Ovis aries: one gene and its partners. The protein of the gene in region 1 interacts with the protein of each later gene in a biochemical or structural test. Links are inferred from orthologs where the notes say so. Each region holds a gene or a part of one and is shown in the gene's direction. Other genes may lie near its edges.

What was found.
Region 2: the proteins of MAGI2 (region 1) and CRHR1 form a complex in vitro, tested with the Homo sapiens proteins (2 studies listed by BioGRID and IntAct, with this or other methods). The link is inferred for Ovis aries from reciprocal best matches to the Homo sapiens genes MAGI2 and CRHR1.
Region 3: the proteins of MAGI2 (region 1) and ADRB1 interact in a test that uses a peptide from one of them, tested with the Homo sapiens proteins (4 studies listed by IntAct, with this or other methods). The link is inferred for Ovis aries from reciprocal best matches to the Homo sapiens genes MAGI2 and ADRB1.
Region 4: the proteins of MAGI2 (region 1) and PTEN form a complex in vitro, tested with the Homo sapiens proteins (2 studies listed by BioGRID and IntAct, with this or other methods). The link is inferred for Ovis aries from reciprocal best matches to the Homo sapiens genes MAGI2 and PTEN.
Region 5: the proteins of MAGI2 (region 1) and RPS6KA1 interact in a test that uses a peptide from one of them, tested with the Homo sapiens proteins (2 studies listed by BioGRID and IntAct, with this or other methods). The link is inferred for Ovis aries from reciprocal best matches to the Homo sapiens genes MAGI2 and RPS6KA1.

Annotation. Positions count from the first base shown.
Region 1 is NC_056057.1:43,276,701-43,282,773, forward strand, and holds the start of MAGI2 (membrane-associated guanylate kinase, WW and PDZ domain-containing protein 2), read left to right. Parts: upstream 1-2,604; 5' UTR 2,605-3,076; coding exon 3,077-3,377; intron 3,378-6,073. UniProt on the Homo sapiens protein: Seems to act as a scaffold molecule at synaptic junctions by assembling neurotransmitter receptors and cell adhesion proteins. Plays a role in nerve growth factor (NGF)-induced recruitment of RAPGEF2 to late endosomes and neurite outgrowth.
Region 2 is NC_056064.1:45,527,724-45,533,611, forward strand, and holds the start of CRHR1 (corticotropin-releasing factor receptor 1), read left to right. Parts: upstream 1-2,232; 5' UTR 2,233-2,503; coding exon 2,504-2,536; intron 2,537-5,888.
Region 3 is NC_056075.1:34,061,340-34,067,251, forward strand, and holds ADRB1 (beta-1 adrenergic receptor), read left to right. Parts: upstream 1-1,331; 5' UTR 1,332-1,446; coding exon 1,447-2,991; 3' UTR 2,992-4,080; downstream 4,081-5,912. UniProt on the Homo sapiens protein: Beta-adrenergic receptors mediate the catecholamine-induced activation of adenylate cyclase through the action of G proteins. This receptor binds epinephrine and norepinephrine with approximately equal affinity.
Region 4 is NC_056075.1:9,240,202-9,245,997, forward strand, and holds the start of PTEN (phosphatidylinositol 3,4,5-trisphosphate 3-phosphatase and dual-specificity protein phosphatase PTEN), read left to right. Parts: upstream 1-1,833; 5' UTR 1,834-2,660; coding exon 2,661-2,739; intron 2,740-5,796. Other genes in the region: KLLN (killin), read right to left, coding at 90-629, 1,106-1,186. UniProt on the Homo sapiens protein: Dual-specificity protein phosphatase, dephosphorylating tyrosine-, serine- and threonine-phosphorylated proteins.
Region 5 is NC_056055.1:240,329,155-240,335,085, reverse strand, and holds the start of RPS6KA1 (ribosomal protein S6 kinase alpha-1), read left to right. Parts: upstream 1-1,909; 5' UTR 1,910-1,924; coding exon 1,925-2,140; intron 2,141-3,299; coding exon 3,300-3,344; intron 3,345-5,931. UniProt on the Homo sapiens protein: Serine/threonine-protein kinase that acts downstream of ERK (MAPK1/ERK2 and MAPK3/ERK1) signaling and mediates mitogenic and stress-induced activation of the transcription factors CREB1, ETV1/ER81 and NR4A1/NUR77, regulates translation through RPS6 and EIF4B phosphorylation, and mediates cellular proliferation, survival, and differentiation by modulating mTOR signaling and repressing pro-apoptotic function of BAD and DAPK1.

The DNA of each region.
Region 1 (6,073 bases):
TACTGGTTTTTAGGACACTGCTAGCCAGAAAGCCACTCACTGACTACTACACCACAGGAGCAAGAAGAAAAGCACTGGAAACAAGAAAAGAGACCCTTTTTATAAACAGTGTTCCTCCAGCATCTTCTGTTGACAAGTGCTAACACTGAACCAACTGAAAACAAAGAAATGTTTACAGGTTACAGCTCTAATATCACAATTCAGGGCAAAGAAGATGAATTAGGAGATGTGAAACACTAAATTAGCTGGCACACACTTCAGTGACTCTCTTGGGTCCTAATAGTAAAATGCTTTTATATCAAATTCCTACTCCATTTGTTTTCTTTTTCCCTAAATACCTCTACAATAAAATGCAGACCCAACTTCTGGGACATTATATACTGACTACTAGTATGATATATAGTAACTTCACAGGAGGAGTGTACAATGCAGTGACTGAGACCATGTCTTGAGTCAAAACACTTGAGTCGGAATATTAGCTTCACTACTGACTAAATCTGCAGCCTTGCAAAAATTAATCTATGTATGCCTCAGTTTCCCTATCTATAAAAGGGGATAATAATAGTATACATTTTATTAAGATGCCAGGAGAAATAAATTAATATATATAAAGCCTATAGAACACGTGATAAATGTTAAAAATAAATGACAAAAGGAGAACTTTATAAGTGTATTAGCCATACATGTTCGTTAGTAAATTGACCATTTATAAGCTAATATGCATGGGTAATACTAACATTTATAATGTTTGTGTTTAAAAATTCATCCCGTATTCTGTTTTCATTATCAATTTCCATTTAGGATTGGGTCTAATAATGCTAAAACCCAACTTTGTTGGGTGAAACTGGTACAAAATGCCTTGCTCACATCTGGACATTGTGAGCACTGTCCTGGCACTGTCCCTGGCTCACTGAATAATCATCAATCAAACCCAATTTATCCAGGACTCATTTTCTCAAGTGAAAAAAAAAAAAAAAAAGACATGGTTAAATCATCTCTTTAAAGATTTCTTCTGTTCTGACTGCTTTTGATCCCCCATATCCCCAAACAATGAGTTACACTAGAGAAGCAAAAAGGAGGAAATTATCATTTTGAGTGCCTACTCATTTATGTCAGGCAAACACTTTGCATACATTGCCTGGCTTCATCTTTATCACAGTTCTGTCACATTAATACTGTCAATCCTATTTAACAAATAAGGAAACTAAGGCACGGAAAGGTCAACAATTTACTCAAGATCACACTCTTGCTAAGTAGCAGAGCCTGAATTCAAACCTGGTCTTTCTGTTTGGGTCGACTAAGCATTTTTAACTGTTCCGCTTGCCTCCCACACTGTCTTCTCAGACAGCTAGAATCCTACCCGCTCAATGCTTTTCATGCTTTGCTTTAAAGAGACGAGTGGGTGTGCAACTTTTTTTTTTTTAAGTATCATTTGAAAGTAAAGCAAATGGAACTCATTTATCAGTTACAGGAATTTTAAAAATCACTCCTAACATCTCACACAAAATTAGCCTTTGAGTAAAAATCAGCGGCCCTCCTGCATCCTGGCGCCCCGGACGTCACCTCACCTCCCGGCTGCAAACTTGCTGAAGGTAAAGAAGCCTGGTGGCGGACCAGCGAGCTGAGTTTCAGCCCCGGTTCTGTCGCTCTGGTCGCCCTCCGAACCTTCTCCTTTAGTGTAGCAGGAGGTGGTCTCCTCAGGGCAGCTTAGGGTTTCCCCTCTTCCCAGCCCGGCTGTGAGGGCGCGCGCGACGAGGGCGTGCCCCGCGGTCTCGCCGCAGATCCCGCGTGAAACTGCCCAGTTCTCTGAGGAGGCTGCTCACCGCGGCTGCCCCCACCCCACTGCTTCCCGCTTCTTCCAACTTGGAAAAGTGAAGCCCCTGCCCCGCGGTGCCTGGAATGCCTTTCACCAGACAACCCTCCGCTAAGTTCCCTTCTGCACCCGAGGTACGGGCGCTGACAGGAAAACCAGCCTGCAGTTCTAACTTTACTCTCCTCTGAGAGGAATTCTGAGAACTTTGAGACGGGTCTGACTGAAACGTGGGAGACGAAGCCTGTCTAATTAGTGAACTCCGACGCCTCCACCTGGCCCGCAGCGCCCAGGCCTCCTCCTGGGCGAGGGCACGCCGGGCGGGTCCCACAGCTCTGCCCTTTCTCATGCCGGGATCGGACGCCCGGAGGCTCGCGGCGCCACCAGCCACAGCGTCCGGCACTGAGTCAGGGCATCCTCACAGCGCAGCAGCCTAGCGCTGCGTTCGGCCGCCGGGAGGCTGAAGAAAGGTCCGCGCTGGGCTCGCAGCCCTTCCTGCCGGCCTCCCCACGCCGGGCCTCGGCTCCCCTCCTTTCCCGCTCCCGCCTCCTCTCGTAGGCTGCCAGGCGGACCCAGCCTGCCTCTCTCTCAGCCTTCACTACCGGGTCAAGCTGCGGAGGGGGGTGGGGGGGTGAGCGGAGACAGCAGTAAGCGGCTCCCCACCCGGCGCGCGCGCGCCCCTCCTCCCCGCTCTAGTCCGCTCCCTCCTCAGCGGCGCTAAGCCTCCTCCCCTGCTGCCAGTACAGTACAAGTCGGCCGCGCGCGCGAGGGCGCGAGCGCGCGCGGACCCTGCCACTGCCACTGCAGCTACCATGGATATCAGCTAACAACACACACTCAGGCGCGCGCGCGCTCCCACTCGCACCACGCAGGAGTGGCCCCCGGCATCCCTACTCTCCTTCCCCACCCCCACTCCACCCGCTCACCAGCTCGGCTACTGCTCGCTCAGGCTGCCGCTGCCGCCGCCGCCGCCGCCACCACCACAGCTCTCCTCTGCTGCGGGGCCACAGCCTTGAGTGTCATTCAAGGGACAGCACAACCTCACCCAAGCTCTCCTACCTCTGCCCAGCCGTCCCTGTCATCCTCCCCCTTCCTCGACCACACTCCATCCAAAGAAGAGGGAAAGCACCGAACAGAGAGGGGAGGAAGGCAAAGTCTGCTCTCCTCACCTCTTGGCCCCCTGGCTCCTCCAGCCTCATTCTCTCAGCACCAACTCCCCTACCCCAAAGGAATCCCTCAGGAGCTGAGGCGACTCACCCCACTGCCATGTCCAAAAGCTTGAAAAAGAAAAGCCACTGGACGAGCAAAGTCCATGAGAGTGTCATTGGCAGGAACCCGGAGGGTCAGCTGGGTTTTGAACTGAAGGGGGGCGCCGAGAATGGACAGTTCCCCTACCTGGGAGAGGTGAAGCCGGGCAAGGTGGCCTATGAGAGCGGAAGCAAGTTGGTGTCTGAGGAACTGCTGTTGGAAGTGAACGAGACCCCCGTGGCGGGGCTCACCATCAGGGACGTGCTGGCCGTGATCAAACACTGCAAGGACCCCCTCCGGCTCAAGTGTGTCAAGCAAGGTAAGCGCAGCGGCTGGCTCGGTGCTTTACCAGGAGGCTGGACCGCTCCAGACGCCGGGGCATCATGGAAGGGTGGGCTCGCGTGTGGAAGGGGGTGTGTTGCGCGACAGTGGGGTGAGGTCGATCGAGAACCGGCAGAGCAAGTGAGCTTTGCCGGGGCTCAGAATGGGGGGCTCAGTGGGAGGGAGGGGCGGTTGCGGTGCAGCGTGCAACTTTGTTTGCGCAGTTACCACCTCCCGTTTGGTAGGTGTTCGGCCTTGTCTGACCTCGGCGGTGCCGGCGAGCTCCCAGGGCAATTGAATGTGCGTCAGCCGCATGGCCCGCAATGGATGAAGAGCTTTTAGGGAAGGAAAGAAGGCAGAAACGAAAAAGGAGGGCAGGAGAGAGAGGAAGGAACAACTCGAGGGTGCAGCGGCATCACCAGCAGGGCCGGTAGGAGTAGGGGGTGACGGGGCAAACGGAGACCGGCGCCCTCCGTTTCGGTAGCTGTACTGAAGACACCTTGGGGATCCCTGAGCCACTAATTGACAAAGAAGGGAAGGGGCAGGTTGCTTCGGGCGCGTTGACGGGTCTGCCTTAACTTTTTCCCTGCCTCGCTCCTCTGTCCCCCTCCCCCGCCCACGGTCGTGTCATGTGGGCACCGCGCGTCACGTGCGCACTGACTAACTCGGGAGCTCACCCCGAGCCGGCCCGCGGGAGGCGGCTCGCGAGGAAGGCGCGGCGCTAGCTGCGGGTTCTAGAGTTGGAGGTCGGAGGAGAGACGTGGTTACCGGAATGTTCTTTACTATGGGGTTGTCTTCATGAGTGGAAGTTCTCTATGGTCGGACTCCCCTCTGGCTTCGGATTTGGGCAGGGGCAGGGGCGGGAGGCGTGTTTCTAAGGAGGAACTGGATGAAAAAGCCTTCTGGTTTCGACTGAGGATCCGGTCAGCTCCAACCTGGTTTAGATGAGCCTCCGCTGAAGGCTGTGATGGGATCCTGCAGAGTTCTCGCAACTGTCTTTGCCTATAGGAAAATGCTGGTCCTGAAGTAGAGAAGAGAGATAAAAGTTTCTTGGAAAGAGGACAACTTTAGCTGGAATAAAATAGTGTATCTTCATTTTCCACATCATAAGTTTTGTAGCTCATATTCATAATTCTGTGTGACATGTATGTATATGCGTCACAAATCGAAAGATTTGTTGTTGGTGACACATTGTTCGGATTCAAAGATGGAATTGAGCATGTCATTGCCTGCATGACAATATCTCTTAGGGAGATATTCTTGTCTATAAACCAGTTTTAAAAGTAAGTCAGTGAAAAATGAAACCTCAGGCAAAATTTCTTAAATGTAAACTGCCATACAAAAAAGTTTTAATTGGGGATTCTTGAGTGTTAGTGACTGATGACTTGAGATAGGCTAATGTGAACATTGACTTCTTTGTCAGGCCACAGAGTTAAATACGGTATGAACCTGAAGAATGTGTTTGGTAGGAAGGCAAATAGAATATCTTACTGTTTTCCAAGATGACATACCAGAGGCTCGAATATAGGCATTAATGTTAGCGTATTTGATGTCATGATACTATTTTATAGTAATAGATATAAATGTGAAGTTCTGGTTTTGAATCCAGAAGTCTATGTCACAATTAATGACCATGGTTTTATTGACAACAAGGTTGGTATTTGTAGTGGAAAATGGCTGCCAACTTTAAGATATTGTTATTAATAAATTGGACTAATGATTGTAGCCTAATGAGGGAAGTGTTTATCCCACTGTAGTTTGTAATTATGACCACATTTTAATGTACTCATTCTGAGCACACTATTTTGAGATGAACCTTCACAGGCTGTTGCTCTAGCAGCTAGAAAAGAAAGAAAGGGAGATTTTGGGGGTATTGTCAATCTATTCTATAAAATCCAGTGGAAAGACTTTAACTTGGAAAAGTGAAGGCATGAAAGCTATCATTAAATACTATCCTATGATTATGTATAGGGCAAAAATAAGACAAATCTGTGGAAATTTTTAAAGGATGAAGCATTTTACTTTTATTAAGATGATTTTAACAGAGCTTTAAAAAAATCTGTTAACTATACTGTGAACTCATTAGCTCCCATAATTGTGAGTGTTTATAGAGGCCAGTGACCACATACCATGGATTCCTATGTAAGATGGGTACCTGGACTAGATCTCATGTAAATCCTTCCATGAATTGATCCAAGACAGTCTCAGATATTCGACTTCTATGTTAGGTTTTATTTAGAAGATTATAGTTTTTAGAACTCATGGAGTATAGACATATAATGTGATATATTTGGGGTTCTCTGGTAGTTCAATTGGTAAAGAACCCACCTGCAATGCAGGAGACCCCATTCATTTCCTGGGTGGGGAAGATCCACTGGAGAAGGGATAGGCTACCCACTCCAGTATCCTTGAGCTTCCCTGGTGGCTCAGCTGGTAAAGAATCCACCTGCAATGCAGGAGACCTGGGTTTGATCCCTGAGTGGGGATAATCTCCTGGAGAAGGAAAAGGCTACCCACTCCAGTATTCTGGCCTGGAGAATTCCATGGACTATACAGTCCATGGGGTAGCAAAGAGTCAGGCATGACTGAATGTGATATATTTAGGGAAAATTTCTTTTCATTCTTTTAGTTCTGGATTTCACTGGGTCATTGATGATTGATGCTTATAATGATATTCACAGAGCTCCCACAGGA
Region 2 (5,888 bases), on another chromosome or scaffold:
TCTGGTCCACTCGAAGATGATGATCGTGGTGGTGGTGATGGCGGTGATGACGCCTAACCTTCACTAAGCCAGGCATCATTCCTAGCCATTTACAAATATCAACTTGTTTAAACCACCATTTAACCTATGAGGTAGGTATTCCTAGCTCCAATATAGAGATGAGATACTTGAGGCAGTATGAGATAAGTTTCCAGGTTCATACAGCTTGTAAGCAGAAGAGCAAAGACTCAATCTCAGGCTGACTCCAGAATCTAGTGTGTGCATGGGTCTAAGTCACTTCAGTCTTATCCCACTCTTTTTGACCCTAAGGACTGTTAGCCCGCCAGGCTCCTCTGTCCATGAGATTCTCCAGGAAAGAATACTGGACTACCTTGCATTTCATTTTTGTTGAAAACAATAAATTGGCAACCTAGTTGGTGCATCCATCTCTTTGGGGTTGGTTGGGGTGAGTCTGTGTCAAGCTCAGCACGACCAGCTCCAGGGGCTCAGATGGTAAAAAATCTGCCTGCCAGTGCAGGAGACCCTGGTTCAGTCCCAGGGTCAGGAAGATCCCCTGGAGAAGGAAATGGCAACCCACTCCAGTATTCTTGCCTGGAGAATTCCACAGACAGAGGAACCTGGCAGACTACAGTCCATGGGGTCACAAAGAGTCAGACACAATTGAGCAACCAAACACACACACAACCAACTAGGGGTTTTCAAGACTCAGGACCATGTGCTTTATTTAGAAAGTGCCACCCAGTGTAGCTAAGCTAGTGTGACCAGTTGGTTTCCTGGGCACTGCCCCTCCCCATTTCAGAGCCCCAAACCCATCCGGTCCCAGCCCTGGGGACACTTTGACCTGGAAATCAGGAGGCTAAGAACTAGGCTCACCAGCTATGTGAGTGTGGACAGGCCACCACTGGTCTATGCGCCTCAGCTTCCTCACAAGGCATCTTACAATAACTCCCTGTCTAAATGAAGAAGCAGTGGACCCATGAATGTGCTGAGAAGTGGGTGGAAGGAAGGAGGCGGGTGGGCGCGGCAGTGCACAGAATCTCCAGGGAGGTTAGATTCTGAGTTGGGTTGCAAAGTCAGCGGACCACCATTCTGGGAGTGTGGTCCACCCTGGGTGCTCAGGGTTCCTGGTGAGGGGTTGCTCCTGGCGCTGCAGGAGGAGGATCTGCGGGGTAGTTACATTTTTTTACTCGCCTTTCGGCTCTGGTGGAAGGAAGGAAGACATTGAAGTCAAAAGTTCTGTCCATCTGGAAGAGCCGCTGGAGGGGAAAGTCTTTAGGGGCTGGAGAAGTCGGGAGCTGCTTCCCAATGCTTGGGGGCGGGATGGGGAGCTAGGGAGCCAAGGTGGATGGGGGCCAGGAGGTCTGGCGGGGCGGCTGACCCTACCCTGAGCGCTCGGCCGAGAGGGGGCGCTGTGGCCTACTCCTCGCCCAGTCCACTGGATTCCCAGCCGCTATCCCCTGCAGCGCAATGCGCGCTCGGCTTTCCCCCTCCTCCGCGGTCAGAGGGCGGCTAGTCCTGCCCGGCACCGCCATCTCGCCTGCTCTTGGGGTTCCTAGGTTCACCTCCTTGCCGGGACCAAACTGGGCAGGCGCTTAGTTAGTAGAATGAATTTACAAACGAATGAATGAATGAGAAGGGTTCCTCCCTCAGAGCTGTCACACCTCAGCGCGCTCCTGGCGTGTCAGTGCCAAAGGCGCGGGGATCTGGCCCTCGCCCCGCTGAGGTGGGGGCGGCGGGGACTTTCTCCCCGCCCCGCGGCAGGGAGAGAACTGCCCGAACGCAGCGCCCAGCTTCACCCGGCTTCCGCGGCGGCACTGCTCAGTCCGGGCTGCCCTATTCCCCAGCCTCCAATCGCTTCTCTCTTGTAGATTGACCTGGGCCCCCCCAGGACCCCCTCAGACTCTCCTGGACTCCTCGGGCCCCAACCTGAAAGCCGGCGGAAGGAGGGAAGCTGCCTCCTCTCCCCCCCCCCCCCCCCACCTCCCCAGCTTCTCCCCGGGCTGCGGCGGCCGCCAGCGCTGCCAGTGCGCCCCGCCGATTGCCGCAAACCCGGCTCGAGGAAAGGGGGTCAGCGCCGTTAGGGCGCGGGGAGCCGCCCCCGGAACGAGCCGGGGCGGAGGAGGCGGGCCGGGGGAGGGAGCGGAGGGGCGAGGCGCTGAGGCGGGAGCGGAGGGGAGGGCAGAGGAAAGGAGGGGAGGGGACGCCCAGGCGAGGGGGCGGGGAGCCGCGGCGAGTGTCGGCGCGGACCGAGGGGGAGACGGCGGGGGCGAGGCTGGCTCCCGGCGGGCGAGAGGCGGCCGCGGGCCGGGCTGAGTCCGGAAGCGGCGGCTGGACTTGCCCGGGAAGAGGAGAGCGAGAGCCCTCCGGGCCGGGCTGCGGGGCCGGGGAGCGCGGAGCCGGGCACCTCCGCCACCGGCGGCGACACAGAAGCCGCCCGAGCCCGCCCCCGCCGGGATGTCCCGGGGACCCAGGCTTCCAGCGCGGTGACCGAGCGAGCCCGAGGATGGGACGGCGCCCGCAGCTCCGGCTTGTCAAGGTAAGAGCGAGCCAGTCCGCCCTCGAGCACCGGGGGCCCCCAGTTCCGGGCGCAGTGGGCAGTGGGTGTGAAGCGGACGGTGTGATTGGGTGTCACTGAGCAGAACTGTGCCCAGGTCCGGGGGCGGCCGGGGTGTGAGGGGCAGGCCAGCTCCCTCTTCTTGGACCTCTGGAGCCGGCGTTGAGCGGTAAGGGGAGAACTCAGGTGAAAAAAAAAAAGAAAAAAGAAATCATTGTGGCGAAGCTTCGGGAATGTTGGCTGGTGTTGGGGGGTGGGAGTCGGGGGGGTCCGCCCACCCCGGCAACCAGCTCTGCGAGGGAAATCGCTCTAGGCTTTGGGAACCGACTCAGGGTTCCTCTTCCCACCCGTCCCGTGTAGACCGGGGTCCCGGGACAGGAAGCTCGGGAGGGGACAGAGGGTTCCCCATCTGCCCCAGCGCGCCCCCGCCCTGTTCCTGGGAGCTCCTTCCTGCCCCTGAAAGTCCGGGGAGATAAATGTCCCCCGCGCCTGCGAGCCCTGGATCAATATCGCAATCTCCGGAGAGCCAACCGAGCATCCGGCGGTAGTTACCGTTCCGCCGCCGCCGTCGCCGCCGCCGCCGGCCCGCCGGCGGGATCGCAGCGCTCGCTCTCCGGTCCTTTGCACTCGCGGTTTCCTGTGCCTGCCCGCTCCTGTCTGGGTTCTGGCGACGCGATTCCTGCGCCCGGAGTTTAGGAAGGTCTCCAGATCTCACGTCCGGACAGATCTCACGTCTGTCCACTGAAGTTCGGGGGTGACGAGGGCTCCCCCTGGGCCCCGGGGAAGGTCTTGAGGGTCGACACCCCGGCCTGCAGCTAGTGACAGCCGCCACTTGCAGGTGCCAGGCGATTCCCAAAGCGGTTCGCCTTGCGGGGGTAGGCGCGCAAGCAGCAGCCGGAGAGAGGGGTGGGTGGGCCTCGGCGGGCTCTCGCCTGAGGATCCCGACTCCGCAGGGTCAGAGTGGACAGCGTGAGCAGACAGCGGCTTGATGGGATTCAGCGCATTTAAAAAGCGATTACACTCAAAAGAATGGATTTGGGGGAGGGGTGCGGATTGACTGATTTCCATTTTTCCATCAGTTATTAAACCAGCTGTACGTATGTAGCACACAAAGTGATTTGAGTTAAACCACCAAGGTTTAAAAATGCAACTGCTGCCTGGTCATCAATTGAGACGTTGTTAATTACCTAGGTTTCCTCTATTCTCTTTGTCCCTCTCCCGAATAGTTATGTTAGTTTTTTTAAAAGTGAGTAAAGGTTGGTCTGATTAAACCCATATCCCCTCCCCCACGCCTTAACTGGGATTAGGGGTGAACCCATAATTTATTTTGGGTGATCAGGGAGACCCAGGGAGGGAAGCTGGGGGAAAAACATCCAGAGAGCTTGAATAGATGGCACTGAATGGGAATATTTTCCCAAAGGCTAGTGTGTACCAAACCTGGGTCTAAATTTACAAAACAGAAAAAATTCAACGTTTCAAACAGATTCGAAGGATTGAACTGTAGGTTTTTGTTTTTAAGTTTACATGGTAATAGGTAAATGTTCTTTCTCTGGACTTTGTTTGAATCGTGTGCAGATTTCTGCTTAGAATTATGCTTTTCTAAAAGAAAAAAAATTTCTCTTATTGTTGTCGTTGCGTGTTTGTGTGTGTGTATGCTTCCTGCTAGGTCGTCGGATGTGTGTCCTTTATGTCTGGCCTAATGAGCTCAGTAGGTGCTCAGTAAAGGCACTGAATGAGTAAGATGCAGTGAATGAATGGTCAGCTAATGCAGTTTCATTTAAATAATTACTTTCTTCTTTTATTTATATGGCATATACAACTTGTTGGGTAGTATTCTACCTGCTTTACGAATATTAAGTCATACTGTCCTCCTAACAGCTCCGGGAAGGTGAAATTATTCCTGAGCACAGAGAGGCTCTGTAACTTGCTCAAGGTCATGCAGCCAGTGAATGGTGGAGCCAGAATTCAAACTCAGGCACTTGAACTCTAAGACTTTCTTTTGTTAGCTTTTACCAGAAAATATTTGAAGCTGCTAAAACCTCCTTGACTTCTGCCAGATGGGAGATAACTCAGGCAGTTTTGTCAGTATGAACTTCTGAACCTAGGTGAGTGGTGGTGGGTGCTGATTTAGTCACTACGTTGTGTCTGACTCTTGTAACCCCGTGGACTGTACCCCGCCAAGCTCCTCTGTCCATGGGATTTCCCAGGCAAGAAATACTGGAGTGTGTTGCCGCTTCCATCCCCAGGGGATCTTCCTGACCCAGGGATCGAACCCACGTCTCCTGCATTGGCAGGCAGATTCTTTACCGCTGAGCCACCAGGGAAACCCGAATCTAGGTGGGTTTCATCCAATATGTGGCTCTGACCCTCAACAAGTCAGCCAGTATCAGGAAAGGTGGGAAGGATCCGCTCTGGGGCCCCTGTTGTGGGCATCACACTGAACTGATTACAGAGAACTGGGGGAGAGTGTGTGCACGTGTGCGTGAGTGAGAATGTGTGTGTGCATGGGAGGGGCCTTGTATATGTCAGTGAAGGAAAGAGGATGAGCATGAATCTGTGTGGATGCCAAGGGGACAGGTAAAATATGGTCTCTACCCCCAGGGGAGGGCCAGGGACTGAGCACCTCTGAATCTCCTACCCAACAGCCACGGGTCCTCGCAGGGAGACTCGAGTGTGACTCAGAACAGCGGGTTTGGTTGAGTGTGAGAAGTGGAGAAGGCAAGGCCTGGTGGGCTATCTGGGAAAGTGAGTTCCACGGAGAAAGCTGGTTTCATGGCTGTAGTCACAAAAGCAATCTAGCAGTATTACACAAAGTTTGAAAACCAGAGGGGGAAATTATTACAACCTCTCCCTCTTAACACAGCTATTGTTGCCATTTTGAAAATAATCCCTGCAAGCATTTTTTTTTCAAGCGCACATTTGGTCACAGCTGTGGCCCTTGGGAAAGTCCTCTCACTTACTGTCGCAGTCCAAGTCCGTCCCATGTTGTTCCAGGGCCTCGAGAGGGAGAACCTCAACATCTCTGTGTTCCCTGTGAGGGGATGCTCTTTTGCAATGTCTGTATCCAGGCGCTGCGGGGCCATTTCCCAATTGCTTCTTTGACAAATAATGTGGAGCTGGGTTTTAAGGGGAGCCTGGGCAGGAAGGGAAATGAGGGCAAAAGTGTGAGCCATGTCGGGGACTTCCCTGGTAGTCCAGTGGCTAAGATTCTCAATGCAGGGGGCCCAGGTTCAATCCCTGGTCATAGAACTAGATCCCACATGCTGCAACTAGGAGTTAGCATCCTGTGACTGAAGATCCTGCATACTGCAACTAAAACCTAGCATAGCCAAAT
Region 3 (5,912 bases), on another chromosome or scaffold:
CTCACTAATTTTAAACCCATTCAGTTGCCAACCCAACAGCCTTTGATATAACTTTACATGCTATTGGATTTTAATCTTTTTGAGTATTTATATATGTTTTCTTCTCTCATCCCTCCAAAATTAATCCTAGAGTTTTGAGAATCTGGGAACTTGGGCAAAGGAGAAGGCAACGCAGCAGACCAAGAAATTTGAAATCTCAGTTCACTACTGTGTCACCCAAAGCCAATGTACCTTTTTTGTTTGCACTGACCCAGCTCAAGTCATACAATCACGTGAGTAACAGAACACAAAATCCAGGTGTTATTACTGAACATGAAAAGTCTGAAAAGTAATTAAACGTGTTCTAGCTTCCGTGGCGGTGTCATTTACTCTAACATGCCTGTCCTTAAGCCTCTCTCTCTCTTTACATTACCGGCACACACCGTTGCACCATACTCACACATCCATCAGCTGGGACCTGGGAGTGTGTATTTTTCCAACTGGTCCTCAGCATTAGCTGTCAGCTGCACAAACCTTCCTTTGCTTTCTGCATCTGCTGCCCTGGAACGACAGAAGCTTCTTGCAAGAATAGCTCCCGGGGAGCGTTCCTGACAGATGCGCGCTCTGCTTTAGCAAGGCGCTCGCTGGAAAGTTTCTTCTAACCGCTCACACCCGCCTCCGATCCGATCCCCGAGCTGGCAGGACGCGAGCTGGCTGGGACTCCTCTTGACAGAGGAAGGGCTTTACACACACCCTCCTAGGCTGCCCAATACAAGAAACAGTCTTGCAGCCAGACTCCTCCACCCCCAGCGAACAGACCGTCCAAGGCGCTCCGGTGTTTCGAGAACACCGAAGTCCCCTTCCTGCTAAAGGGCGCGTGAGCTCTGCTCTGCAGGAAACCTGGGCACTGGAGGTAGATGGGATGGGTGGCGGCGGGTAGAGCCGGGGCGCAGCGGAAAGCAAACGCCGGAGGCAAACAGGGCGCAGGAGAGGGGAGATTGGGGGCCGCGGGAGGGGGCAGGGTGGAAGCCGGGCGCGACTGGGAACCGAGGGGAACTGGGCACTGGAGCCAAGCGGGCTCTGGAAGGGACGCGCGGGCAGGAACCCGCGAGCGCTGGGGAGGGGCTTGCTTGGCGATCTGCCCCGGACTCCCTAGAGCCGCAGAACCGCCGGTGGAGGCGGGGTGCTAGGAGTTGGCGGGGCCGGGTGGGGGTGGGGGGGAACCAGAGAGGGGCGTGCCTTCGCCAGGATTGGCTGCAGGAGCCTGACGCGAGGCCCCGGGGGTTGGCTCGGGGGAGTGGGAGCCGGGTGGGGTGGGTGCTGGGTGCCGGGGCTGCGGGCTCCGCGAGCTCAGAAACATGCTGAGGTCCCGGCAGCTGTTCCAGCAGCGACAGCGGCTCCAGCAGCAGCGGCGGCGGCGGCGGCGGCGACAGCGCACGGCTCCGGCGGGGAAGGCGCCCGGCGCCCATGCCTCCGGCCCCGCGCCGCGGCTGCGCTGACCTGGCCGCGACCTCCCTCCGCGCGCCCCGCCGTTCGGGCCTCTGGGGGGGTTCCCCAACCGCGGCCCAACTCCGCCACACCCCTCTCCCCCGGCCTCCGCAGCTCGGCATGGGCGCGGGGGCGCTCGCCCTGGGCGCCTCCGAGCCCTGCAACCTGTCATCGGCCGCGCCGGTCCCCGACGGCGCGGCCACGGCGGCGCGGCTGCTAGTTCCCGCGTCGCCGCCCGCCTCGCTGCTGACCTCGGCCAGCGAGGGACCCCCGCTGCTGTCGCAGCAGTGGACGGTCGGCATGGGCCTGCTGATGGCATTCATTGTGCTGCTCATCGTGGCGGGCAACGTGCTGGTGATCGTGGCCATCGCCAAGACTCCGCGGCTGCAGACGCTCACCAACCTCTTCATCATGTCGCTGGCCAGCGCAGACCTGGTCATGGGTCTGCTGGTAGTGCCGTTTGGAGCCACAATCGTGGTGTGGGGCCGCTGGGAGTATGGCTCCTTCTTCTGCGAGCTCTGGACCTCGGTGGACGTGCTGTGCGTGACGGCCAGCATCGAGACCCTGTGTGTCATCGCCCTGGACCGCTACCTCGCCATCACGTCGCCCTTCCGCTACCAGAGCCTGCTGACCCGCGCGCGGGCGCGGGCCCTCGTGTGCACCGTGTGGGCCATCTCGGCGCTGGTGTCCTTCCTGCCCATCTTCATGCAGTGGTGGCGGGACAAGGACGCCAAGGCGAGCCGGTGCTACAACGACCCCGAGTGCTGCGACTTCATCATCAACGAGGGCTACGCGATCACCTCTTCCGTCGTCTCCTTCTACGTGCCCCTGTGCATCATGGCCTTCGTGTACCTGCGGGTGTTCCGCGAGGCCCAGAAGCAGGTGAAGAAGATCGACAGCTGCGAGCGCCGCTTCCTCAGCGGCCCCGCGCGGCTGCCCTCGCCCGCGCCCTCGCCCGGGCCGCCGCTCCCTGCCGCCGCGGTGGCCAACGGGCGCGCCAACAAGCGGCGGCCCTCGCGCCTCGTGGCCCTGCGCGAGCAGAAGGCCCTCAAGACGCTGGGCATCATCATGGGCGTGTTCACGCTCTGCTGGCTGCCCTTCTTCCTGGCCAACGTGGTGAAGGCCTTCCACCGCGACCTGGTGCCCGACCGCCTCTTCGTCTTCTTCAACTGGCTGGGCTACGCCAACTCGGCCTTCAACCCCATCATCTACTGCCGCAGCCCCGACTTCCGCAAGGCCTTCCAGCGCCTGCTCTGCTGCGCGCGCCGGGCCGCCTGCGGGAGCCACGGGGCCGCCGGGGACCCGCCGCGCGCCGCGGGCTGCCTGGCGGTGGCCCGGCCGTCGCCGTCTCCCGGGGCCGCCTCGGACGACGACGACGACGACGACGAAGACGACGTCGGGGCCGCGCCGCCCGTGCGCCTGCTGCAGCCCTGGGCTGGCTACAACGGCGGGGCGGCGGCGAACAGCGACTCGAGCCCGGACGAGCCAAGCCGCCCGGGCTGCGCCTCGGAATCCAAGGTGTAGGGCCGGGCGCCCCTCCCCGCCTTCCCCGGCTTCCCCAGTCCGGGCGCGGGCTGTGCGCTCCAGGAGCAAGAGAACCCGGGCGCCCCTGAACCGCTTCCCCGGGAAAGAGGTCTGTGTTTACTCGAGACCGAAAGCAGGTGAACTCGAAGCCTGCGAACCTCGTCTGCATCATCCAAGGGCAAATAGGAAAGCCACGGACCGTCGCACAGAAAGGAAAGTTTGGGGAGAGGTGGGAGAAGTTTGGGGAGGGGTGGAAGAGTGGCTTACTGATTGTTCTTGGGGTTCTTTTTCCTGTTTCTGGTCCAGCCTTCTGTGTGTGCGTGTGATGCATCTTTAGAGTCCCTCCTCCCCCCGCCCCCCCGCCACGTGGCTTTTAACACTTTCTGCGATGACTGGGAAGGGAAGGGGGAAGCGTTAGGAGGTAAAAGTCTCTCGACTTAGTTTCCATCCCATTCCTGGGAACAGAAGCGGTCAGCCAGAGAGAGAGGAGAGAGAATGACACTTTATCAGGACGTTGTTTCCTTTTGCTTTTCAGAGAAATTCCATTTTAATTTCTGAGGAATTATTTCTCCTGTTCTGAAAGCCGAGGGCAAGGATGGATGCAAAAATCGCGTTTCAGGAAGTTTTATGCTCTTCTTGGAACAAGCCTCACCTTGCTTCCCTTTCGGAGGGCAAGCGGGCTGTCCCTGAACGCCTCCTCGGTGGTCAGGCTGAGGGGTTCCTACCTCACTCACACGGTGCACATTGCACGGCCAGATAGAGAGACTTGTTTATATTAAACAGCTTATTTATGTATCAATACTAGTTGGAAGGACCAGGCGCTGAGCCTTCGTGACATGTGACTCTGTCCATTGAAGACAGGACAGAAAAAGGAAAAAGAAAAAAGGAAAACAATTCAGATTACTGCACATGTGGTATAGACAAAAAATCAAAACAAAAAAGCCGTGATTCAAAGTGGCATTTTTTTTGCACAGTATTAGGAACTGTAAAGTCCACAGAAAATGTTATTTGCACAAAAAGAAATGAAATATTTTTTAATGGGAGTGGGGTGGGGCAGATCTTAAAAACTAAAATAAAATTCAGATTCTATCTCTGTTGTCTGTTATGTTATTGAGCTAGCAATTTATTGGAAAATACCTTTTTATACTCTTTTATCATGGTACTGTATCCATATTATAAAAAATTATCTTAAGGATTTTTTTTATTATTTTTTTATGTCCAAGGGCACACGTGAATCTGCTGGTGAAATTTAGCACTTGTGTGTAAATACTATTTCCTCTGTGTGCTTTACCAAGTATTTATACTCTGGTGCAACTAACTACTATGTGAGGAATTTGTCCATGTGCAATAAATACCAATGAAGCACAAAAAAAGATTATGTACTGTGTGTCTGTAAGGGGGGTCAGTGATAATGGAAAAGACAGTTTGTTTTGTTCGCAATATAGACTGGATTTCCCATAGAGCTCTTTTAATAGCTTTTCATGACTCAAGAGCATAGCAAAATGCCTCTAAACCAAATAAGGCGTGCACCTACTGAGAGAGAGCTGCAGACTTGCCCTACATTTTCATAGCCGGTTCCAGAATATTCTAGACTACTTGGAGGTGTTTTCAAGATCCCATCTGCCACACTTGACTTAAGAAGTAACATTTGAGCTTGTGCATCTTCTTTAAAAAAAAAAAAAAATGGAGTCAGGTAGCTCAGCTGCAATGTTGTACAGACAACGCAGGAAAGGAGACTGGCCTGTGGAACCATCACTGTCTACTTAGAATTTGGTAAGTGGCATTCACAGTTGGTTTTCCAACAGAAAATCGCAGCCTGCAGCGCACGCACGTGTATCCAGTGACTGTTTAGAATGCAAAATGCTTTACTGATTAAGTGAAAATTCATAAAAGAGCCTTTAAGTAAAGATTTTTCTCTTGTATGATTAAACAGACCATTTCAGCGGAAGTTCTGGTTGGGCAGGTAACAGGGAGAAGTAAATCTGAAGTTTTAAATTTTCCTAACAAGATTACGACACCCTCAATGGATAGTTTTCCTAAAATTAGTTCCTAAGGAAAGTATAGTGAAATTCTATCTTGGGATTAATTCTGCATTCTCCAAAATAACTTCAAGTATTTCTCTTTGTATTTTTAAACAAGCTTTTCATTTCATGATCGTATAGTAAGGAAACCAAAGTGAAGAGTACAAAATTCTGGCTTATACCGAGATGAAACATGAACAAACTCTTCTCTACCAAGGAAAGTCAAGACCAATTACCCTTTTTCTGCAATGAGATACTCTAAGGACCAGGAGAGAGGAGAGTCTTCTGAGAAAGGTTAATGTTGCCGATGTTTTAAGAGATCAGCGGAAAGTTGCATGAACAGTAGCCATTTCAACAAAAGCTGCTATGAAGTTTAACCCCTTTCTCCAGGAGAAAAAAAAGGGGGGGTGTGGAGCAGGAGATGGCAAGACTTACTAAAAAATAGAAAGATAAATACTTGAAGAATTGTATTTTGGAGAATGTAAAAATCAATTTCAGGATGACATCTCACTATCCTTTCCCCAAGGAACAAATACAGTCCATTTCTATCCTCCCTTCCCCCAGAGTATGTAAGTCACATTTTGTTAGGGATTTTGTTCCTCTTTATTTTAAATCACACAAGATTAATAGACAATGTCTGGTTTCATCTGAAGAAACACTCAAATACCAGGTAATGCTTCACTTTCCTGTTTTGTCTAGATAAGTCTTTACATTTAAATAAATTTTTCCAGCCCCAAACTTACATATAGATCTGTCAAACCTTAGGTCTCAAAATCACGAAAAGTCCTATAAACTTTAATAACAAATATAAATATATATATGGATATATATATATATATATATAAAAGTAACTGTTTAGTATACAGATCTAAACTCTTTAGTGAGTTAGAGGAAACCACT
Region 4 (5,796 bases), on another chromosome or scaffold:
GTTGAATTCACGCAGCGGGCTGCTGCAGGAGATACCCTTTTGCCCCGCGAGTACAGCACCAGAAAAGTTACGCCCTAAGGGGCAGGGCGCTAGCGAGAAAGATGCGACAGACCCCTGAAATCTAGTCCCTTCTCCCACGGTTGGGAAGGCAGAGCCAGTGATTCCAGAGCTCGGAGTCTCAGGTTTCGGTCCTCTAGCTTGCTCTGTGGGTAGCGGGCAAAGGGTGCGACCAGCTTGGGAACCCTCGCTCCGAGATCTGTAAGAATCAGCGGCAGCAGCCAAGGTGAGGGAAGGCGGGGGCACGTGCTTGGATGTGGGTGCTTGTGTAACCAGCTCCTCCGGCGCCAGCCCCGACAGCGCTCCAGTAGGAGGCTCGTCTGAGCCTGTTCTTCCACCGAGACCCAGGAGGCTTTGGGGTCCCGCTGCCGGTGCAAGGCGGGAGCACTCTGGGCAAAGGAAGCGAAGCATTTGCCTCTACAGCTATCATATGGGAGTGGGAATTTGGAAAGTTCCCCAACTAGAAGTACACGTGACCTCCTCCTGAAAGTAGTTCCGACTGTGGCCCGCGTATCCCTCCACCTCCTTTTGAACCCTCCTCGGCTCCGCCCACTCACAGGGGCTGCAGCTTCCTACAATCACGTACTTCGCCCTCCCGCGCTGCAACAGGGGTCTGCGGCGCGCACTCCCCAGCTAGGGGGAGCGCAGAACCTGGCTCCGGGGCGATTCACCCAGCGAGGTTTTCACAGCGGTCCAAAAGGGGCGGGTCGAGGAGCCTCTAAGGATCGAGCTTGAATTGGAGTGGTGAACTCAGCTGGAAACCCCAGGGGAGAGATTCTCGGCTCTCCAGGGGGAATGCAGGGCGCATTCCCTCTTTGGGGATCCGCTTTCAGCCCACCTGGACAGTTGCCTTTGGGGATCTAGAAATTCAGGGGCGATGTGCTCACACTCAGCGCGCTCTGCTAGGAGCTTTCATTTTTAGGGCAAATGAATCGAGTAGCCGGGGGAGCGGGAGGTGGGGCGGTGAGAGGGAGCCGGGTGAGGTGATACACACTGGAGACACAATAGGGGGTTGTTCTTTGTACTAAGACTGACACCTTGAGGACACGGGCGGGGATGGGTGGAGAGGTGGGACTTCTCGGCGGAGGCTCCTGCAGTCAAATCCCCGCGAACGCTTATGATCCGACATCGGTACAAAAGCAGAGGAAGGCTGCCGGCCGTGCCGGGGAAGTCTGGGCGTGGGGGGAAGGGTGTCCTCGCTGCACGGGCTGTCCCTGCGTTTCCCTGAACACTGACCAGCGCGGTCACCTGGTCTTTTCCACCTGTGCGCAGGTAGTCTCACCCTCAAGTCAGTGAGACAGATGAATAAACCTGCTTCAACCTTCACCGCGCTCCTTCCCTCCCCCCGCTGCCCGCCCCCGCCTGCCCACCTTCGCAATAGTTTACCCTGCCTCCGGCTGGGCACCGGCCGTGGCTCAGCTCGTTCCCCCCACCCTGCGTTGCTGCAGAAGAAGCCGCGGCAAGTGCAGTTACAGGCGGGCGCCTCGCAACAAGCCCGATCTAGCACTAGGCAGTCATACTGGGCATGCTCAGTGCGCCTGCAGGTTGGGGACCCGGAGCTGCACCTTCTGCCGCCTCCCTACAGTCTCGGCCCTGCCCTTCCCTCCCTTGGCGCGGTCGGGTACGCCTCCCTCCTCCCCTCGGGCTCCCGAGGCGCCCGGACTCCCGGCGCGGCGGCGGCGGAGGGGGCGGGCAGGCCGGCGGGCGGTGATGTGGCGGGACTCTTTGTGCACTGCGGCAGGATACGCGCTCGGGCGCCGGGACGCGGCTGCGCTCAGATCTCTCCTCTCGGAAGCTGCAGCCATGATGGAAGTTTGAGAGTTGAGCCGCTGCGAGGCGAGGCCGGGCTCAGGCGAGGGAGATGAGAGACGGCGGCGGCCGCAGCCCAGAGCCCCTCTCAGCGCCTGTGAGCAGCCGCGGGGGCAGCGCCCTCGGGGAGCCGGCCGGCCGGCGGCGGCGGCAGCGGCGGCGTTTCTCGCCCCCTCTTCGTCTTTTCTAACCGTGCAGCCTCTTTCTCGGCTTCTCCTGAAAGGGAAGGTGGAAGCCGTGGGCTCGGGCGGGAGCCGGCTGAGGCGCGGCGGCGGCACCTCCCGCTCCTGGAGCGGGGGGGAGAAGCGGCGGCGGCGGCGGCCGCAGCTCCGGGGAGGGGGTCGGAGTCGCCTGTCACCATTTCCAGGGCTGGGAACGCCGGAGAGTTGGTCTCTCCCCTTCTACTGCCTCCAACACGGCGGCGGCGGCGGCGGCACATCCAGGGACCCGGGCCGGTTTTAAACCTCCCCTCCGCCGCCGCCGCACCCCCCCTGGCCCGGGCTCCGGAGGCCGCCGGAGGAGGCAGCCGTTCCGAGGATTATTCTTCTCCCCATTCCGCTGCCGCCGCTGCCAGACCCCTGGCTGCTGAGGAGAAGCAGGCCCAGTCGCTGCAACCATCCAGCAGCCGCCGCAGCAGCCATTACCCGGCTGCGGTCCAGAGCCAAGCGGCAGCAGAGCGAGGGGCATCAGCCACCGCCAAGTCCAGAGCCATTTCCATCCTGCAGAAGAAGCCCCGCCACCAGCAGCTTCTGCCATCTCTCTCCTCCTTTTTCTTCAGCCACAGGCTCCCAGACATGACAGCCATCATCAAAGAGATCGTTAGCAGAAACAAAAGGAGATATCAAGAGGATGGATTCGACTTAGACTTGACCTGTATCCATTTCTGTGGCTGCTGCTCCTCTTTGCCTTTCTGTCACTCTCTCTGATAACGTGGGAATAGACGGATGCGAAAAAATGTCCATAGTGCGGGTGACATTTAACCCCGGTCGGGTTTCTAGATGTGTATTTTGTGTCTCTTTTGAATGCATTCCGCCTAGGGTGTGTTCGGCTAGACGGAACTCTTGCCTGGTTGCAAGTGACAAGGCACCGATGGGTCTCTTTCTAAGGGCTATTGTCCGCAGAATCCAGTACACTGTTAGTGGATTAGTGAGCTCGGTAATCCGGTCTACTAAATGAACAGAAAAGTAGGTGCTTTGAGCTTGAGCATATTTCGATTAAATCTTGGCTTTAGGCCCTAGATCAAGGGTATAGATCAGATTAAAAGGAAAATTAGTGTTGCACGTACGGCTTATTGCATCAGAATCATGCAGTGATTGTTTTTAGTTTCCTGGGTTGCATTGATAGATTCTTTTAAAATGTGAGTTGTGAACTGATTTGCATAACTTTAGAGAGAATCATTTTAGCATATATGGTGCTCATTTGAAGGCAAAAGTAGGTTTATGTGTTAAAACTAAGTTAATTACAACTTTGAACCGCGTTTAGAAGTTTAGCAGTTTGAAATCAATAGTCTTTGATACTTCTCAAAGACGCTGACTAGATTTTGTTAAATTTGCTTTTTTATTTTTATGGTCTCTTTAAGATGATGGAGAATAGGACATGAGATGTACAGTTCAGTAGCATTGTAGATTCAGTGCTCTTCTGACAGGTAATAGAATGGAGATTGAGTGGTTTTTGATCTCAGATGATAATGTTATGTAGGTTCAAGGGTATTGTGTGTAGCAAATGGTGATTGCAGAGATTAAACTTCAGTTTCACTTAAAATTTAAGTATTGATTGTGATACTTGAATTGATACTCAGCTTTATTTAGGTTTCAGGTCCTGTGACACCTTTGGGTATCCGTTAATTTTACTCTGACTTGTGTAGAACATCAAATATAATTTACCAGCTGATAACCAGAAATGCTGGCAAGAGTGGATTTACTCCATCTTTGGATTGTAGGTGTGTTCGCTTTTTTCATATGGTGTATTAAATTTACTGAGTCAGCTTGTTGAATAAGACAGAAACCCAAGAATTTCATTGGGGTACAGTTGGCTGTCTGAAAGTTAGGCTTTTGTATTTCAAAAGATAGTGGTTATTGAAAGGCATGAATCTTCGCAGTTTCAGGTATAATGAACAAATTTTGATCAAGGATAGGAGGTAGAGCCCTCCTTTTTGGCAGAATGGGAAATATGTTAGGAATTGAGAGTCACTGGTAGGCCAGTGTATAAGGCATGAAAAATAGGATTAAGTTATTGGTCTGAGGTGACTGAAGCATTTTATTAAGGTTTCTATTAAAGACAAAAAAATTTGGTGATATGAATTGTAGCAGTGGACAGTACTTAGTTAAAACTAAGCAGTTGTGTAGGTGTTAATAGAGTATACTAAAAAAAAAATGGTTCCTTAGCAAGTATCACCAAACATTTTGCCTAATAGTAGAGTGACACTGAAGTGCCTGTATCTCTAGCTAAAATCTATGGGGAAGATATTTTTGAAGAAAAATGTTACATACATGAGGAGGTTTTCTTTCTTTGCATTATATATCTGCACATACATATATACATACATAGTATTTGCAGCTGATTTTGCCCAAGTTTCTGATATGAAGTGAAGGTAAAAGTTACTGAAGAAGTAGCTTTACCACACACATAACTTAAGTTTTCTGTTAAGTTTAAAAATAGTATTTTAAAAGAATATTTGGACATTTTGGAGTTGCATTAATTGAAAAAGTACTAAAACAGCTTGACCTGTTTGCCCAGAAGATAATCATGAAAAATACTTAAACTTGGTTCTTCTCATTTGTAACCTATTTCAGAAGTAGTCTATTGGTGTGACTTGACAGTCATCTAGATGTATAGGACCAAATTAATTAAACGTTTAACTTTTTAAAGTAAACCCCCATTCAAAAAATTTTCTAGAATGCTGTTTGTTTGGCAGATTGCTTTTAGTATTCAGAGTATGTTTATGCTATTTTTGCATAAAAATGGTGTTTTTGCTATTTTTGATTTAAAATTAACAGAGTTATAAGACTATCATTATTCTACCAGGTTTTTATATGTGAGCAGTGCGGCGATTAGCCATTTCTCCTTTGATTTCAGGGTGCGTGCCTCTGTGTGTGAAATTTATGTGACTTACAACTTTCTCTAAAACTGTCCTTTTAGTTATGGTATGCATAGAAAGCATTATCATATATTGCATCAAATGACTAATAACACTTAATTTCTAGAGTTGTGGTTTTATTGAGCCAAATGTTGATATGAAAAAAAATCATGTTAGGAAAGTCAGTAAAGGGTTTGCCTTTTTGATAGTTGCACTTCCAATAATTTTGATACACTAAGGCTCTGGTTTGCTTGGTTTCACTTCAGTGTTTTGTGTTTGTGGTGGGGGAAAAATTAAAATGGCCATTGAAGGCTTTTTCTCTGACAAGTTGTAGTATCTATTTCAACAGTTAGCCTTCTCAAAGTTCAGTTCTTTAATGAAAGTAGTGATTGGAGTATTTTTATAGAAGTCAGTAATGAAGTGACTTCCTTAAAGGAAAATTGAGGACTATGGTGGTTTTTTTTTTTTTTTGCAAAATTGAATTATTCTAAAAATAATTTGTTGGTTGGGGTTTATCCTTAATATTAGTCTGAAAAGTAGTACTGAACATGAGACTATAAAAAATTCATTGTTTTTAGATTTCATGGACACTTTAGGCTTCTATTGAATTTTAATTGTTTGATAAGTTTGCATCTTTTCAAATAATTAATGTTCGTAGGGGAAACTTTTTAATTCATAGAGAGTATAGTGACTGTTGAAGTTAGCTGTTATCTTTTAAGATTAGTGATTACTGAAATGACTGTATAGTGAAGATTTTTTTTAAAAAAGATTCTACTCAAAAGTTTTTATTTTACACTTTTTATATCAGTTAAGTTGTATCTCTTTCCTGTACAAAATGACTGGGCCACCTAATT
Region 5 (5,931 bases), on another chromosome or scaffold:
CTCTCTGAGGAAGCGGGAGGAGAGAGTCTCCACCCTCTTAGGGGCCAGAAGGCCTTTCCTGTAGACTCATAGACGAGGTCTTCCATTCAGTATTCTGCAAGGTCAGTATCATTGTCCTCATTCATTCATTCAGCAAGTGTTTATTGAGCACTTACCATGCGGCAAGTACTTCTCCAACCAGCAGGGTGCCACTGTGAACAAGACAGACCTGCCCGCCTAGTACAGGTGAGGAGACCGAGGCTCGAGAAGTAATGTGACAGACACATTCAGAGCGAGTGGCTGGCAGAGCCGGCAGCAGGGGCTCTGTCTCTGTGGCTGCAGACCTGTGCTCTTTCCACCCTCTGTACAATAGTCAGTCCGGAAGGGCAGATGCGCCCTGTCTTCCCAGGACCCTGGCTTTCAAGGGGAAGGTCACCTGTGGTCCTCTCTGCACTCCTAGTGCTCTCGCTAGGGCCGCCCATTTCCCCCTAGAGACCTTGTGCATCAGCTCTTACAGGCCTGGGCGTTCCATGAGGATGGCACCCAAGCCAGACCCCGGGACTGGAGGCAGCCAGACAGGCTCCCTGAGTCCTCCAAGATACTGCCCTGTAAGCGCCCACCTCTGGGTTCACCCACCACCTCCTCCTGTCTCTCACTGGGGATTCACGTGACTCTGGGTCATAGCCCCATGTCTGTCACCTGCTAACAGAGAGGCCACAGTTAAGTCACTCAGCTCTTCTGAGCCTCATCTGAAAAATGGGAGGAATAGAACCTACTCTGGCCTCCTTGCTTGCTTTGCTGGTTTGAGGTTTCATTTGACAGGCTATGTGCCAGACCCTGAGCTGGGTGCCAAGGAGACAATACCGGACAAGCCGTGGCTCCTCCCTGAGTTAATCTGAGGTTTGCTCGGTGCTGTGAGGCCCAGAGGAGGGAGGAAAGGACTTAAGGCTGTATGGACAGAGGAGAAGACATTTAACCAGGTCCTCAAAGAAGACCAGGAGTGTGCTGGAGTGACTGGGCAGGAAAGACTTTCTTGGTAGAAGGAGCCACCGTGCGAATGCTTGGGGACAAGCTGGCCTGTTCAGGGTCTCAGCTTGTTCAGTTTAGCTCCAAAATCGGGATAGTAATAATGGTGATTGTTTGTGGACCAGTTATATGCAAGCTGTACTTTTTTTTTTTTTTTTATATTTATTTAGCTGTCCCAGGTCTTAGTTGTAGCACTTGGGATCTTTAGTTGTGGCATGTGGGATCTGACCAGGGATCCAACCTGGGCCCCCCTGCTTTGGGAGTGTAGAGTCTTGGCCCACTGGACCACCAGGGACGTCCCTGGATGTATCTATTTTATAGACACTATTTTGCTTGCTTCTTAAAGCTACCCAGTGAGGTACATTACTTTTATCCCCATTTCACAGATGAGGAAACTGAAGCTTTGAGAAATGCAGTAACCTCAGGGTTATGCAGGTGATAGAAACCAGAATTTGAACCCACAAGGTCAGATTCCAGAACCCACATTAATCACCTGTGGGAGCTGGAGATGACGGCTTTGAATGCCATACCAAGGAGCTGGGACTTTATCCCACAGGCAGTGGGAAGCCGTGGAAGAGTTTGAGGCCTGGCACCTAGAAAGTTCTCAGTAAGGAGTAAGTGAGTGACCAGGGGAGTCACTCAAATGTAATGGTTGCAGTTGAGTTTTAGGAAGGGTGAGGGCTTAGAATGGGGGAGGCTGGTGTGTAGGCCCTTGTTACCATCCAGAGTTATGTCAAGAGTCTGCAATGCTGGGTGAAGTGGAACTCCGTCTACGAAGGCCTCACGCCTCCTCCTCCCCTCAGGCCTGGTTCCACCCAGTCCTGCTCCCCAAGCTCCTGAGAGAGAACACGTATGGTGGAGCCTCAGAACGCTGGCCCCTGGGGAGGATTAGGGGCATTAAGGGGGTTCAAGGGGCAGGATGTCCAGGGACTGGCGGGGAGGGAGTGCTGCTCCAGGAGCAGGGAGATTATATAATGGGGAAAGCACAGCTGTGCCTGCTGCTGCCAACAAGACTGCAGCTGCCCTGTGGACTTGGCCCCTGGTCCAAAGTCCTGGGTCTTCCTGGTCTCTCCACACTCTTGCTGCACATGAGGGCTGGAGACCGCTCCGTTTAGCTTCCCAAGGCCCGGATGGGGTAGGTTACTCACTTCATATCACACAGGAAAGGGGTGGTATACCCAGGGTGGACAGCACCCAGCGGAGGGTGAAGTCTGGGGTCTGGAGGACTGTGCAGGGGTGAGCTGCCATGCCTGCATCTCTGTTGCCCTGGCTGGGCGCTGGGCTCCTCTTCCTCAGTCTCTTGAGCACCTCCTGGTGTCAGAGACCGGATTTTGAATCCCCGCTGAGCAGCATTGTGGCTTAGGTGCCGTCACTAGGCTTCTCTGCGCCTCAGTTTCTTTCTCTGCCAAATGGGACCCGGGCCTACCTCCCAGGTCAGGAGGGTTTAATGGTGCCACAGATGTGAGGTACCAAAGCCAGTGCCGGCGTGCAGCAGGGGCGCGGAAGAGAGCAGCTGTTAGCACCAAAAGCCTCATCTCTGCCTCCCAGGACTTCCCGTTTATTAGGAGGGGCTCCCAGGTAAAGAACCTGCCTGCCAATGCAGGAGACCTAAGAGACATGAGTTCAGTCCCTGGGTGGGAAGATTCCTGGAGAAGGGAATGGCAACCCACTCCAATACTCTTGTCTGGAGTAGCCTGGCAGGCTACAGTTCATGGGGTTGCGAAGAGTTGGACACAGTTGAAGTGACTTAGCACGCACGGCCCACGAGTCCGTAGTCCCTGCATTGTGATAAGTGGTAAAATGAAGGTTCATAGGGAGTAGCAGTGATTCTGCAAGGATGGAGAGGGGTCCCAGAGCAGGCAGGGCCAGAGCATTTCTGGGCTGGACACTCTCCCAGACTTTATGTCCTTCAGCCCTTGCATCAACTCTAGGAGGTGGATGTAAATACCCATGTTACGGATTGGGAAACTGAGGCCTCTTGAGTTGGTTAGTTGGCACACACCCACAGTCCTTTCCTTCTCACTGGGAGGAGATGGCATTTGAGCCGGACCTTCAAAGATGAGATGTTTTCTAGGCAGAGAACATGGGAGGGGTGCCCAAAGCGGGCTACCTGAGTTGGGGCGATTGCAGAAGGCTTGAGGCCTGTCCCCTCCCAGAACTCCCGCCCCCACCTCCAGGGCCCCTCTAGCCACTGGGAGCATCCAAGGGCTGGGGCGCCCCATAGGGTCTGTCTTTGCTTTGTGCCACTCTGGTAAGTTCTGACAGTGTTCCCCACTCTCTCCTCTCTTTTCCAGAATGGACAAGCCTCAGGGGAGGAAGCTGGGCTTCAGCCATCCAAGGTAAGGGCCAGGCCCTAGCACCGGAGCTAGGGATCGTCAGGGGTGGAGTGACTGTTTGCCTGGAGTGGACAAGGAAGGAGGCACTGACCTTGTCCCGCCCAGGTGTGAGGCCCCCTGGCCCAGCTCAGCCTTCCTTCTCTGAAAGTGAAAGTCACTCAGTCATATCCCACTCTTTGCAACCCCGTGGACTATACAGTCCATGGGATTCTCCAGGCCAGAATACTAGAGTGGGTAGCCGTTCCCTTCTCCAAGGGATCTCCCCAACCCAGGGATTGAACTGCGTGTTGAAGGTGGATTCTTTACCATCTGAGCCACCAGGGAAGCCCAAGTCCTTCTCTGGGCCCACCTAATGCTCGAGGCAGCCCCGTATGTCAGGATTACTTGCTTCAGCCTTCCGGTTCCTCAGGGGAGTGGACTATGGCCCAGACAGGGTCAGAAGCCAGGCTAGAACTCAGGTTTACCCGTCCCCCAGACCAGGACGCTTCCTCTGCTTATTTACTCGTGGTGGCTTGGCTGACTGTATTAAGAGGGTGAAGGGGTGATGGGAGAGGCTTAAGTCCACTGGGCCTGACGAGGGCATGGCACCTGGTGCTGGAGGGAGCCTGGTGGCCTCCAGTCACACCAGGGCCCAGTGCCTGGCGTGGGGCACACAGGCCGTTTCTCAGGCCCCCTCCCAGGCCGGCTCCCTCAGCTCTACGCTCTCTGCTCCCCTTGGGTCTATCCCTTCAGCCCCCAGGGCCTGTTGCTGGTTTTGTGTGTTGACAGCACTATGAGGCTGGGGGACAGTCTGGCCTGGGCTTTCTCATCGCCGTGCTGGGAATGGCCTCACCCAGTTCTCAAGGCGTTGTGAGGTCGCAGAGCTGCTGGCTGGGGAGGGGCTGTGGAAGCCACCAGGCAGGACAGGGCCTGAGTTCTGGCGGTAGAGCCTACCTGAGTTCTGGTCCTGCCTCCACCATCGCCATTTGACCTGAAGCTTCTCCCTTCTGAGTCTGGTTTCCTCAGCAGTAAAATGGGAATAATGGTACCTGCCTCCTACCTCTCAGGAGTGACGTGAAGAACAGATAGAAGAGCAGCTGCCTGGCACACAGTAGCTTTAGTCCTGGCAGCCTGAGTGCCTGGCCGTGTTGCTCAGCTCCATTGCCTGTTAGTGGCCGCGCCCTTCTGGCCTGGGTCTGCTTAGGTACCAGACCATAAGCCTGACCTTTGAGATAGACTGAGGGCTGGTCCTGATGTTTGTCTTGACTCAGCCTCCTAAGATAAGGGAGCCGAGTTTCCTGGGGTAGGGCAGGCCAACAGAAGTAGGCTCCCACCCCTCCTCTTTTTGTTACTATGGCAACCTTGGGTCACCAAAGGCCAGGCCGAGTCATGTGGACTGAGCCCCTTGACTTGTCTCAGCCCCATGTCTCAGCCTCCTGTGGGAGAATCTCTTCCCACCAAGTAGCTGCTCCTGGTTGCCTAGTAATGAAGGGACTGTAGGTCTCCAGTGAAGGTCCAGATGTTCAGATCTTGGGGCTGTAGTTCTAGGGGTTGCAAAGGTGCCTGCAGCTTTGAGGGAACTGGTGGTGAGTACAGCTTCTCACCTCAGAGCTAGAGGGGCTGGTTAAGAGAAGACAAGCACTTACCCAGGTGGACAAACTACTCTTGATCCCAAGTCTGTGATTCCTTCCTGCTTCTGGAGCAGATCCTGGGGTGGGAAGGGAGATGAAGCTGGACGTGGATGGGGCAGGGAGAGCCTTGAATGCTACGTTAAGGGAGAGAAAGTGCCATACCAGGAGCTTTGCATTTGGTTCTCATAACATCCCCAGAGGTAGAAACTGTTACTCTCCCCATTTTACAGATGAGAAAGTTGAGGCCCTAGGTCAGATCGCTAATGGGCAATGAAGTCAGGTCTTGCTTGACCACAGAACCCACATTCCTCCCAGCCCAGGAGACACACTGAGTGCTGAAGAGGAGGAGCACTGCGTCCCCGTGAGCACAGTTTCCGTCATTACTCGGCACCTGCTCGTTCACCTTCTCTGTTGCTGCAGAATCTTGTAGCATCCCCAGTGCCCACTTTTGGGCTCAACACACCAGGGGGCGCTCAGCCTGTGGTCAGAACCTCATCGCTTTGTGCAGTGGAAGGAGCTGGTTTATCTTTTGCATCATCACATGTTCATGGCACTGGGAATCCCAAAATGAAGTCAACACCCCACCCTCAGGGAGTTCTCAGCATTGGGGAAGGGTGGTGACAAGAAAGCTGTGTGGTGGGTGCAGTGATGGGGAGGAACAGGCTGTGGGCACATAGAACCTCCATTCAGTGCCAGGCCTGACAGTGGGCAGTGAAATATACCACCTTCCTACCTGCCTCTCTGGGGCATGATGAGATGAGCACGTCTCAGGGAACCCAGTAGCATCCACTCTCAAGGTTGAGGGTGGACCAGATGGACGGGCACTGCTGTGTGTGGCAGAAGAGGAAACGTGGGCTGTAGGGCACCAGGTCACCTTCCCCGCAGAGCTGGTGTTTGCCTGGGCCTCGAAAGCCGGGATTTGGGCAGCTGGAGAGAGAAGTGGGCCTTCCAGGGGGAGGAGAGGCCTGACTTGGAGGAGA